Linked DNA regions of Caenorhabditis elegans. The protein of the gene in region 2 purifies or fractionates together with the protein of the main gene of each other region. This does not show direct contact. Each region holds a gene or a part of one and is shown on either strand. Other genes may lie near its edges.

Region 1 (5,879 bases), on a different chromosome or scaffold from region 2:
TGAATAATTGATTTTGGGAAGAAAATAAAAATTTTGATCTGGGGTTAGAGTGATTTTGGGCCGTGAACCGTTTGATTAGAAACCTTAAGATTAGAAGGGACTAATGAAATGTTTAGTTTACCATTTGAAGAGATCTCTCCAAAATTATTGTATGCCAGGAATCATCATCATATCTTTGAGATGGAAATGAATTGAACATTCGAATGATTCGAGCATCGGAGCCGTCAAATTTCGAAGAAGCGATTATAGCCCCATCTTGGAGCATTACGTGAAGATAACTCTGTAAATTCCTTCCAACTTTAATATTAAAAGAGAATAGAAAACTTTAATAAATCATTACTACGTTAGGAGAAAAAACGGTTGATTTGTTTTCACAACTTGTAGGCTTATATCTCTCTCTAGGCTTCTCTCGTTGAGCATGGTATTTCAAAATTGTACAAATAAAAGAAGCTCGGGTTAAAAATTAAAAAAAACGAAAAACTATTTTCTGAAGGAATGGGCAATATTTAATTTTAAGAACTCACTGTTATACTACTTTTATACTTCTAATTTTATTCTTCCAACGTTAAAAAAAAAAATCAAACTGTAATCAATTCAAATTAAATACCTTTTCATCTCCCGCATAAAACAACATAGATGTCCCATGTACAGTTTTGAATGTCAATGTTAGATTTTCTTTCTTGGCTCTCACTGCAGCTGATATATTCAATGAAACATCATATCCGACCCATTCATCACCTCCAAATGTTAATTCTCCGTCGTTTTTTTCTGAAACCAAAAAGAATTTTCCCACAATCTTTGGTTTCTTTGCTTCCGCTTGTGTTCTCTTTCAATTTCGTCACTATCCCGCGCAAAAATGAAAAAAATCTTATGGGAATGAATGAAAAAAGCATTACCAATTTCACAATTCCTTCCGTCATGATCAGAGAACTGGCAGTCACAATGTGGTCCATCATTTGATGAATAACATTCACCATCGTTGAGGCACACAAATTGTTCGCGTGAAGACATCTGGAGAATATAATTTTCAGAAAAATTTTATTTTTTCTTCTGAAAATATTTATGAAGAAAACAAACCGATTTTGACTTGCAATGGTCGTCTTCGTTGGTGCGTGTTCCAACTGATTCCAGAAGCTGAGGAGATGTGACACCTGAATAACAATTTATTATTTTTCCTTCCATTTTTCCTTTGATTTTCATACAGATGTATCACAACGAAGCTACAAATAGTGTGACTGAGAGATTTGGAACAGTAAACCAATTTTCATACGGTATTTTATCATTAAGTTTTGGATACTCTTTACATACACTATAAGGTACATACTTTTTAAGATTGATTACGTTTTCAGTGCAACCCATAAGATGATCAGAACACACTTCTAAATCCAAGAGGTCAGTGATTAAAGTGAATCAATACACACAAGTGAATCGGAATTACACTTAATACATATTCATATCCATAAAAATAACTAATTAGAAATGTAATTGGTAAAATTTCTTACTCTTTAACGACTTCATTATCTCGTTCAACTTGGTCAAGTCTTAAGACAGGAAGTGCTGAAAGTGTGGGACCGATGATCTTGATTCATTTACATACCTTGGGGATACTGGCGGTACATCAAATTGCGCACGTTGACTGCCAAATGACGAGCGTATCGACGAAGAGGAGAACTCATTACGGGAAGCATGTGCATATTCTGAATACAATCATTTCATACAGTGTTACATAATTAATCTTACTGGTGGTAATCCTCCAATGAAAACATCTGAATTTTTGAGAATGTTTCCAAATACAAAGCTTCGTTGATTCAGAATCTTGAAAACAAGAGTATAATCCAACTCCAGTTTCACATTTTCCCATGATTGAAATATCGTCAACGTATGCCATTTGTCGTCATCTATTCTAACCTGGAAAAAACCTTGATTTCACAAATATAAATTCCCCTGAAAGATTTTATATAACATTGCAACACCCTATTTTCTTCATCTGACACTTGTTCCTTTGTGACTTAAACCCTTGGGACGTGCTCTCGGAGCTCACTTAAAGTATAAAATATATGGGTTTGCAGTGGATAACGGCGGCATTGCTCGACTGCTCAAAGAACACCAAAATGTGTCGGAGAAAACTTGATTCGCAGATTTATGACCGTTGGGTATAAATAGACAAAGAAAAAGTAAAAAGGAAGTCGGAAATGATAGACTCGATTAGTATGTGGTCACAAGATGTACAATGTAGATTCATGATAAATTGAGATTTCACAAGAAAACTTACTTCTTCTATTCGAATTGTATTCACTGGTCGTCGTTGGCCAAATTCATTTGAATTGTCACCTAACCTAGAAATTAAAGAAAATTATATCAAGAAAATCTGAAATAGAATTCATGAGCCTGGCGAGCCCAACTGAACGTGTGACCGGTTTTAAGGATTCCGGACGATACGGAGTGCAGGTTTATTCGTGTTAAATGTTTTTTTTTTTAATTATTTTTTGAAAGTCAAAATCTGAAGATTTTGAAACACAAAATGAATACTCGAAAAATTGGGCGTCTGACTTGCTGTTCCAACATGAGGAGAAAAAGTACTAGGATTTTTATGGCAGTTTTATTAAAAAAATTTTCAAGCAGCTGTCAAGATTTTTTCATTACAATTTCTGGATTTCTTGGACAAAAAACTCACCTAAAGTCTAACTGAATATGACCTTCTACAATTGTCAGTGAATAAAAATTTCCATGAGTTCCACCATCGTCTGTGTACAGTAACATTCCATCGGATTGTCGTGTTTTCAATTCCATTGATAGCGAATTTTCGAATGAGTGCGCCCATTTTGGATACCTAAAAAATGGTCTATGAAGTTTCGCCGTATTCAAAAAAAAGTGAGCCCACCTCGCATAAGAGTCTGGAGCTCCAGTGAGAATAATTGAATCTACTACGCTGAACAATGAAACCGTAAAAACAAGCCATATCGTTAAGTATTGTCCAGTATCATCAAACTTTTGTCTCATTTTTGTCGCATCTGAAAGGATAGGAAGTTTGGTAGAGAAGAGCATGCACCAAAAGGCATACACATTGGGAGTTCCATTAAAAAGCGGAAAAAGAAAAAGGGAGGGGTAGGGGCACAAATCGGAAGATAAAGCCAGCATGGCAGGCGGCAAAGAAGAGTCATGAATAATTAATATTTACAATTGGAATATTTGAAACTACTTAGACTGAATTGGAATTCATAGATTTTTAGGTTTTTTGCAGGGGAAGAAAATCTCTGAAATCCTGTAAACCCTACTAGAAGAACATCGGAAAAAGTAGAGAAGAGTCGGGATTTAGAGAAAATGAAAAAAGGGAAAAAGGAGTGGGAGGCGCCAATTTGAATGGACGTTTTGGGAATGGGGATAGAGAAAAAGAGGACAGGTACATACTTTTTCAATTGCTCTTTTTTTGGATGAAACGGAAAGAATCGGGAAAGAACTACTTGGTCAAGTTGGAAAAACTAACTCTGATATGTGAAGTGTTTTTGATGTTCATAAATTGGAAAATTACAGTTTTCCTAATTGTTATGTGATGGTTTAAACTTTCTCAGACTATTAGTTCAAATGAATGTTTCTCAAGATGAAGAAAAAAGTTATTTAATTTGTTGAATGTTCTATTAAGAAATTAAAACAATGTATCATAGGAACTTGGGAAAAAGGGTGAGTGTGAACACGAGACAGGAAAGACAGGCATGTTTGTGCTTACAAGGAAGATTTTTAATGGAAGTTGTTTTTATGAACCTTCATAAAATAAATAATTCAAATATTAAAACTAGAGTTATCCTACTTTTTTGTCTGCATTTCAACTTTCCTCTCATTTTTATTCGTATTTTCTCATATTTTCCAACCAGGTATCAAATTCCAAAATGAAGCAAGGCACTACCGATCGGTAGTGGTTTTGTATAACAATTGCAATTGATCCCTCTATAAATAGTAAAATGCTTTCCTTGTCGTGGCAGTGACCTATCATTCATTCATTCACATTTTGAAACAAAGTGAACTTCCTTTTCAAAAAAAGGATGGATGATATTGAGACACGGAATTTTTTCAGAAAGGAAGGATAGTGGAAAAAAGAAAACAATTTGATGTAGACAAAGAAAAGAGAAAATAAAAATAATAATGAGCTATTTTAGCTGAAGTTGAAGCAAGTGAAAACAATTTTTTTTTTCGAGCAACCTGAGAATTTCGAAGGAAATATTTGGTTTGGTGAAAGCAACAAAAAAGCAAAGAAACAGAAAACAAAAGCAGTGTTTTGAAAAAATTAAAGACCAGACTGGTTCAGTAGGTCACACCAGGGAGGTGTTGCAACTAAAAAGTTGTCATAAATTATCTTTGAGACGTTTTCTTATTTTCTGCAGTCTGCAAAATTTTTCAGAGGTAGAGCTGCTTTTTGAACCACTTCTTGTCAAAATGTTTGCAGGAAATTCCCATAAGGCTATCTCTCAACTTTGTATTATGATCACAAACTAAACGATATCGAGACCATGAAAACTTATAAAGAAGTTACTCGATTGGATGAGTGAGAATCTCTAGTAGTGTATTTATGGGAAAACTACAAGTCCATCAAATAAAGAGGCAGAGCTTCCTCATCATTTGCATGAAATGAATGAGGTATGAGAAGAAGACTCTTTGGGTGCTCTTCTCTTATAATTATAATAACTTTTGATGACTTGAATTCTGGAAAACGTTTCCAGCTTTGCTACTTTTTTCTCGTAATCTTGGATACCTCTGAGATTATTACGAAATTCTTTGAGAATAATTAGCTTCGTTTTAGTCTTCAATTGAGGAAGATGGAAACAGCTACGTAGGTTTCTCAAGGCAAAATATCTCATTTTTTCTCTGAGCTTTCAATATTTTTTGTTTATGTTTACTCGTGATAAAGATGCCAGGAAAACATGATTTTTATTTGGAAAGCGACTGTTCTCTCTCTCAATATATTTCAATATTTCAGACTCCTAGAAATCAGATGTTTAAAAATGTCGAAGAAAAGACTGAGGGAATTAAATTTGAACGCAAAAAGACCTCTGTGGTTTCTTCTTTTTTGATTCCATTTTAATCGCATTTTCCGGATGGTTTCTCTGTTTCAGATGTAGAAAACGAAATAAAAAAGGACACACACATATAGGAACAGAAGAGATAAGATTCAAAGAATTGAATGGAATTTAATTTAGCGATGATGTCCCGAGATTTGTCAGCAATTCATGCGTGCTTTGTTATGCTGCTGCTCCAGTAGTAGAGAAACGATGGGCTTCTGTGCAGCAGCTCACACACATACACATAGACGAACTTTTAATCGTTTTGCCGAATCTCTTTTTCGGAACGAATTAGTGAAGATACTCTATAGCTTTAGACGATGAAGTCAACGAGTTTTCTTTCTTCACACATTGACGTGGGTTATTTAGTTTTTAGGCACCTCCCTGTCTAGGGAGAAATAGTTAGAGACTTAGGCATTAAAGGGGTTTTTAGTTTGAGAATTTCAGTGCTTAAAGTTTAATTCTACAAACTTTGCGTATTGTGACTTACAAGTTCCGCTAAATTTAAATCTATTATTTTAATTAAGAACTATAGGACATTGGAATTTTCATTGATACAGTTAATTTCAGGTTTCAAAAACAAAAACGAAAATTGAAAAAGTCTTTCATTTTCCGGCGACTAGGGAAAACAAAATTTTAGAAAGACGCACTTCAAAATTTAAAATGAAAAGAGAAACAGGAAGGAACACAAAACTTTGTTGCAAAAATTATGTTAGAAAGAAAAACGAAATAAAGGAAAATAATTAGAAATAGAGGAAACGAGAATTTATGGAAATGCCTATGTGCACGTTTGTATTTTGAGAGTTAGTGTTTCTTATAGAGATGGCA
Region 2 (7,682 bases):
TGCAAGTTTTCATAATATGCATAATATGAACAGTTAAAGATATCCATACTATATTTATTAAAATTAACAAAAAGAATTTCAGTAACATACGCACATCATTCACATTCATATTCTCATTCACACGAGCATCATCATCATCATCATGGAGGATATTATGGTGGAGGTTATGGTGGATATCAACCATATTATGGTGGTGGAGGATATAATGGATACAATGGATATTATAGGCAAAACTATTGGGGAAGAAAGAAATAGACAATGGATGCAATTAGGAATGACATGACGACTGGATTTTATTACTGTATTCTCTCTATTTTAATAAAAGAGACTAATGGTTTAACTCTGGAATTTTAATTTTTTTTCAATTAAATAAAATGTTTTAAATATATTGAAATGGGTTGCAAAAATGAGGTTTTTGTTTTTTTCATAAACACAAGACTATCAATAACATGTAAGTAGAATTGTTCACAATGTATAAAAACAATCAGTTGTATTTTACCAGAAAATTCAATATTTTTCTTTCCCTCTAACTTCCTGTCTTTTTATCCGTTTCTTTCTTTGGTGTTTATCATTGGAAAGAAATTTCTTCACTATCGTTATAAATTGTTCTGTCTACTGTACCTGTCTGAAAATGGGCTAAAACATGCCGTACGCTAGAAAACTTTCCAGACCTGAAAAACGTAAAAATTGTCCGTGCTTTATTTCTCGTTTTAGCCAATTCTTCTTCAATAAATCGTTGTGGACCAAGTGTTTGTCTGTCCTATACTGATAATCCTTTACCTCCTGTACCCATAAAACTAATCTCGGTTGTCCTTCCAAAAAGATCCATAAAAAATAATGTTTTCCGGTCCCTTTGAAAATGCACGGCAAGAAAAAAGTAGAATAGAAAAATAAAACAAGGCGTCAAAATCAGTGTAGAAAAAAAAGTGGCGCCTTTTTGCCGAAAAGAGAGTGTCTTTTTGCTTCTTCATCTTTTTTTGTGTAATGGGTGAGGGGACCAAAGGAAAGGAGTGAGGAACAACATTTATAAGAATGCTCGAGGAGCAGAACCAGCACATCCTCTTCTTCATGCTCCTGCTCTTGGAGCCGCCACCCCGCCAACTTCTCCTCTTTTTTCTTTGTCTTCCGGAGTCCTTTGGTTCTCCTGGGACCTCCTTCTTCCCTAAAACTAACACAGAGTCTATATATTCATAACTTTTCTTTTCGTTGGATTCCCGAGCCAGTTTTTAGCCATCCCACTGACTGGAACTCCCATAACTTGGTCTTGTGTTCCTCGTCTAGGCATTTCCCGTTGAAAAACCAAGATTTTTTGCATTTTTTAAACAAAGCTCCCTTCTTTGTTTTGTAGGAGGGAGGAGCTGTAACCCGATTTAGAAGAAAAAGTCAGCGCCCCTACAAACAGGAAGACCTTAACTAGGTTCCCTCTGTTTGGCAGTATTTCAACAAAATTTTTTCAAAATTTTTCAGCTTCTATATTTTAATAAACAAATTTTTCATAACTTTTTTAAATGAAGTTTACTTACTGTAATTTTCATATCAGACTCGCACTATCTGTCAAAATCCGCCAAAGTTAGTTTACTAACTTCCAAATTTAGAACCATTTTTGGGGCACAATGTTGTTCAAAAGTTGTTTGTTTCCCGTTTCCTTGTTTTTTAAAATTTATCCAGATATGTTTATGAAATTTAAAGTATTTTATGATCCAGGTCGATTTTAGACAATTTTCTAATCGACGTCGACGTATGCCGAAGCTGGGGGTACCTGCGTCGATTAGCCTGACTTCGGCGTCGATCAGAATAGATTTACCAGAGTTTAGTGAGAAATGTGTTTATGTTTTCATAAAAACCCAAAATTCAGACGTCAGAATTCAAAAACCTTCCCCTTCAAATTTTAAAAGAAAATGAGTTGTAGTCGCAGAATATGTTACCTGAAAAGAAGTAGGGGTGACTCTATTGTCTTTATTTCTTTTTTCTTTTTACAATTTTTCATTCTCACTTTTTTTTTACTTTTCAAGTTTGTTCAATAGTCTTCTGCAAAAATATTTCAGTTATAATAGTTGTGTTTTCCAAAAAATTAGTTCAATTCTTTTTTTTTGCAGTTCTTCTTTGTTTTTCCAGTCATGTCCTCATTCCATAAATCCCATTGGTCGTCGATTTCCCATTTTGAATTGCCCCTAGTTTTCCGATTTACTGCATTTTTCAAAAAAAAAGAAAAAAAAACGTTTACTATTGAATACCTATGCCTGGTTGAAAGAATGGGTTTTGTCAGACACTGGTTAACCTTTGCTCAGCTCTTTTTTTGAAGTTTGTAGTTATCGTTTTTGGAGTTTTTATTACAACCTGGTATCATGAATATTTTTTCTCTTCCATTTTCATTTTTCCTTCCCAAGTGTGCTGCCCGAGTCTATTGGAAGTCAGAATACCAACGTGTTCCTTGACACTTTTTGATTTGATTTCCACATTTTTTCCTACATTCTCCTCTTCTTTTGGCTTTTCTTCTCTCCTGAGCAACGAAGTTTAACCATTGCAATATTTGTAACTTTCATATAATAAGTAGTGGAGTTTTTGAATTGATTAAAAAGTTTTTGAATTGATTTGCATCATGGTCTAAACGAATAAAACTTCTCCAAGAGACTCCTCAAAAAGCTTTCAATAACGTAGTTGTTGTTCAAAATTAAAAAAAAATTACAAAACTTGTGTTCCATCGACTAAGATGGTACCTAAATTCCAAAAAAAAAAACGAGTAATAAATTACTAAACTGGAAAATTTGGCATATATTCCAGGTAAATTTAGCCTGTTTCTTTCAGATAATTTTGAGTACATTGAATAAATTTTGTTACTACCTCTATCCCGGCTCGCCATTCGCCTTGTTGCTTCCTATCAAAAACTTTTGTCTAGGAGTTACTCAACACGACTTATCAATGAATTGCTAATTTTAGAAATAATTACTAAAAAATGTTGGAATGGGTTGAGAAACCACATGTTCATAGGAGAGTAAATTTCTACGAATTCAAACTAATTTTGCCAAATATTTATTGTAATTTCTTGCTTTTTTTTGTTGATTGTTGGCCCACTTACTTAGTTTACGTTAATGTTTTTTTTCTCTACAGCTACTCTTTTTAATTAAATTTCTTTTTGTTTTAATCAGAGGTAAAGTGCTATAATTTGGCTCAACCAACTCACAGGTGATTCGCGGGTTTTAAAATACTTATGAAATGTAGTTCGCGCGCTTCTACAAGAGGCACCAGCGATATAGTAAAATACTTGCAAAATCGCAAATATTGTGCAAATTGCGATCACCGAGAGTCGCGATTACCAAAATACTGCTAAAATGTTAATGGTCCCGCGGCGAAATTCGCGATTTGCAAAATGCATCTAAAATATTGGAGGTCATAAGTATTTTACAAACGGCGAATCACCTGTGCTATTGTAAAGTGGAAAACTTCTATAACTATTTCTTCGAACCCTCTAATTTTCCTATCCAAAAAATAGTTGAAGCCCACATAAATCTTTTAATACATTTATCTCTATTTCATTCTTTCTCTTCTAACTGGTAATTTGAAATTCGAATATTTTCTTCAAGTTCCGGCATCTGTATATTTTCTTTTTATAAAACTTCCAAAAAAATATTTGCAGCCAAGGACAATTCAAGCGTTTGTTAATTTTTACACAAAAAAAGGAAAAAAAACAATGAAACAAAGTGTAAAATGAATGAAAATGAAGTGTTCATATACCGTAGTATTTTTACTATTTTACTTGCTTATTGCGAGTTTCCACGTGGATGCTCTTAGTTGGGCGGCATGGAGTCCTTGGAGTTCGTGTACTAAAACGGTAATCGGACAGAGAAGCTATTCAGAAAAAAAAAATTTTCAGTGTGGTGGCGGAGTTTCTCGTCAGTTACGACGTTGTTTGACATCAAAATGCTCAGGAGAATCAGTTCGATTCAAAGTTTGTGCTCAAAAAACTTGCGAGTCAAAATCTAGATTAGCTAGGGATACAATATGTGGAGGAGAGGAAATAGTCTCCAGGGGACAGGTATGTATGAACCACTTTCAAAATAATGTTTTCTTGTGAAGAAACATTTATTTAAAAAAAGTTTTTGTAGTAGTAGTCAAAAAATAATTTGGACAAATGTACCGAATAACCAAAAACGCAAAAACGTTCAGCCCTGCAGCAAGAGTGTTGTTTTTTCGATTTCTCAATTTTTTATGAATGTCGAAAAAAAAATTTCGGATTCTCAAACTATTAATTTTTTAACGGTCTAAATTTCAATAATATCCACATATCATGATACATAACATTCTAACAATTTTGTAAAAGTTGTGGTAAATTTCCAAATTTTCCAAAAATGTGGACTTCCTGAGAAATTTCGAGTTGTACTGCAGGTTTGAATCCCTAGAGTGTTTAAATATAAACAATCTTTAAAAAATGCGGAAAACTGAGTTTTCAAGTGTAGATTTAAAAAAGCCAAATAATTGTTGAAAAGTTTGAATTTTTTTTGAAAAGTTTGTGAATCATACATGAACAGTTTTCAAGCACCTATAAGTGAAAAAATAAGAACTAAAATTCAGTGCGAAGTGGTATGCCGATCACGCTTAACTGGTGCAAATTTTCTTTGGAGAGTTGATGATGGAACGCCGTGTCAGGCCGCAACAAGTAGAGCTGTCTGCAGTAAAGGGTCTTGTCAGGTTACTAAATATAATTGTTTTAATTATTATTTTCCCCAAATTTCAGATCGTTGGCTGTGACGGATTGATTAGTTCATCTTTTCGATTTGATGCCTGTGGAGTATGTGGAGGACGAGGGGATACGTGTGACAATGGAAAGTTCATTTGGAAAGTTTCCGGTAGAATTTTAAAGATTTACAACAATCACTCAAAACACTAAGATTTCCAGAAGAATACACTGCATGCGCTTCAAATTGTGATGATATAGTTGACTGGTCAGGTGCTGGACGTTCAATTGCTTCAACTAGTCAACCAATTGTTGTATGTGTAAATGCAATAACTGGAAGAGTTGTTCCTGAAAAGTTATGTGCTGATAAATTGAGACCGAAAGTTGAAGCAAGACCATGCCCAATGCTGATTTGCCCTTCAAGGTTTGAAATTTTAAATTATTTTATATTTATGCTTAAGTGCATAGTTTCGTAAATAGTTTTAAATTCTAGTTGTTGTCTGTACTTTTTGAAAAGCACAAACCTCTAAAAAACAAAAAACCGAACTCAAATTTCTGTTAACTTTTGTATTTTAATAATTTGAATTGTTTTTGAATATCCAATTTCCTTTTTCAAGAAATATTCTTTATATCGTTTCCTAAATTAGATTTGCTAATTTGATTTTAATTAATAATTTCAGATGCCGGTGAGTTTTTCCAAAAAGATCCCAAATCAGGGTGTGGTAAGCTGAAAGAGTGTGCCCCATAAGAATGACGGGGATTATTGATTTTTTATTTTTTCTCAATTTATTTTTGTTTTCTATATCACATTCACTTCTATTTGAATTTTCTCGATAAATATTTTTATCGTTTAGGAATGGCTAAGTTCAATTTTTAGATAATTTGAGACTGACATCTCTTTGCTTTATTAGACGCTGTGTGTCAATTTGAATATTTATGGATTTTGAAGTAATGAACTGAAAACTTGCAGATGGATGGCTGCAGACTGGACAGAATGTGTACCACATTGTGGTGAAGGGACAAGAAAAAGAGAGGTTTACTGTGTACAGACGGCGCATAATGTTACAGTACATGTTCCTGATACCTTCTGTGAAAATGGAACAAGACCGGTTAGTTGTTAAAAGTTTTAGCCATTGTTTCAGATGTTAAGTAGAGATCTTCTTATTAATGCTTGAGCGGAGCATTCTCAAAATGTTTTCAAAACACCAATTTTAATAATAACACCTCTTGAAATTTTCAGAAACATTTTTATGGCGGTTAAAAAATTTGTTGAAAAATTGTTTTTTTAAGAGGTCTTTTTTTGAATTTCGGCCTATAGGGTCAGTATAAAGAATACGCTACTCCAGATTTGACTTCAAGTATTTTTCCAAAAAATATATTGTTTGGGCGAAAACGTTTAAAAGCCTTGCCACTATAATTGTATATATTGTTTTTCTGTTACAGACGCAAATTTTCCAGATTTCTTAGCGTTATCATCTGCCTTTTTAAAAAACAACTTTCCTAAATTTTTTTGTTTACTTGCATGTTTCAGAAATAATTTAGAAATCTCTCTAAAACTTTCCTGAATGATAACTTTCAGGCAGCCGAAGAAAACTGTGTATCAACATCATGTGGACGATGGGAAGCCGGAAAATGGTCAAAATGTACAGCTTCGTGTGGCCAAGGAGTGCGACGACGTCACGTGGCATGTGTTGGAGGTTCAGATTGTGATGAAGGAGGACGTCCAAGACAAGAGACAACATGTTATGCTGGAATACCATGTAGTATTGCAACAAATAGGTGAGCTCCATTAAGAAGTGGAGAATTGGTAAAGGCACTTTACGCCAAATCATTAGGTAGAATGTGTGAGCGTAAAATGATGAGATTTGCAACAACTTTTTTGAAACTGAAATTGCTGGTTTTTACATTAAAAAAAAATTCAACTTCCAAAAAATGGTATTTTTCATTTAATTCTAGCCTACATAAAAGTTAACAGCTTGCCAAAATTAGTGTACGAAGCAAATTTTACAAGCTCGACAAACTCAACAAGTTTCGTTTGGTACTTGCTAAATGAAAATACTTGCTGTTATATTATTTAAAAATTGTATAGTCTAGAAAAGAATTTCAGATCTACATAATTATTTTTTAATCGAAGCTTTACTATTCATGTCTAAAAGTTCGATGTAAAACGAGTAAGTTGAGCAATCCCCCTTCTACACACAACTAACAGTTTCTTCAATATACACATTTTGTCCATTTGTACTCTTTTTCGGAATTTCTCATCAATCACATTCCTACTAAACTTCTTCCTTTTTGTCTTCCATTACAAATTCAGTGTATTAAAGAACTCTTTCTTTGTAGAGATGACTCCATTTTCGTAGTTGTACTTGTACTTGATTCCAAGAGTGAGAAAGATTTGAAAAAAGGGATGAAAATAGGGAAGAGTAAGAAAAATTACTACTCGTCTTAACTTTAAGCTGTAAAAGGATGAGCGGAGTGGAATAGAGGGGGTAAAAAATGGTCGAATAGCAGGGATTATTGAAGTTACCCATGGGAGTTTATGTGAGAATGTTGCCAGTTTTTTGGATGAGAAAGAACTACGACAGGAAGTGACGAGGTTTACTGTATATGAGAAAAGGTACAGTGATAACTGAAACGCGTGTTTTCTTTTGTGAGGTCAGAAAATTCCATGTCTTGGTGGTCCCATTTCTATTTGGCGACGATACCTGAGACGCCATGAGTTTTTTCATTAGATCGTTTGTTTTTCACAACATGGTCTATCGTTTTTAGGAGCAAAATAAACCCATTGGCAATTTGTTCTGAAATATCCTATGGGATTTTGTGCATATTTTTTTACGCATGGGCGGAATAACTGCACTGAATTTTCACTGAATTACTTCTTCTCAAATTCTCAAAACTAGAAAAAAAAATTATAAACAAGTCCAGACCACCTAAATAATTTGAAAGGTCTACATATGTATCAATGACCCTGTGAGGCACGGAGTTATCGTCTCCCGCGGGTTTAAAAGCT

What was found.
Region 1: the proteins of madd-4 (region 2) and nrx-1 purify together in Caenorhabditis elegans (co-purification; one study listed by BioGRID). This does not show direct contact.

What each region holds. Positions count from the first base shown.
Region 1 is NC_003283.11:10,822,145-10,828,023, reverse strand, and holds the start of nrx-1 (Neurexin-3-beta), read right to left. Parts: upstream 3,001-5,879; coding exon 2,882-3,000; intron 2,831-2,881; coding exon 2,675-2,830; intron 2,337-2,674; coding exon 2,273-2,336; intron 2,180-2,272; exon of another isoform or gene 1,963-2,179; intron 1,909-1,962; coding exon 1,741-1,908; intron 1,698-1,740; coding exon 1,598-1,697; intron 1,152-1,597; coding exon 1,078-1,151; intron 1,012-1,077; coding exon 897-1,011; intron 769-896; coding exon 608-768; intron 281-607; coding exon 122-280; intron 1-121.
Region 2 is NC_003279.8:8,938,238-8,945,919, reverse strand, and holds the start of madd-4 (Protein madd-4), read left to right. Parts: upstream 1-3,632; 5' UTR 3,633-3,715; coding exon 3,716-3,829; intron 3,830-3,871; coding exon 3,872-4,033; intron 4,034-4,569; coding exon 4,570-4,686; intron 4,687-4,732; coding exon 4,733-4,844; intron 4,845-4,894; coding exon 4,895-5,096; intron 5,097-5,352; coding exon 5,353-5,358; intron 5,359-5,642; coding exon 5,643-5,781; intron 5,782-6,251; coding exon 6,252-6,451; intron 6,452-7,682. Other genes in the region: fip-6 (Fungus-Induced Protein), read left to right, coding at 83-255. UniProt on the Caenorhabditis elegans protein: Component of an extracellular matrix cue that is involved in the guidance of dorsoventral midline migrations and in the specification of postsynaptic domains at neuromuscular junctions (NMJs).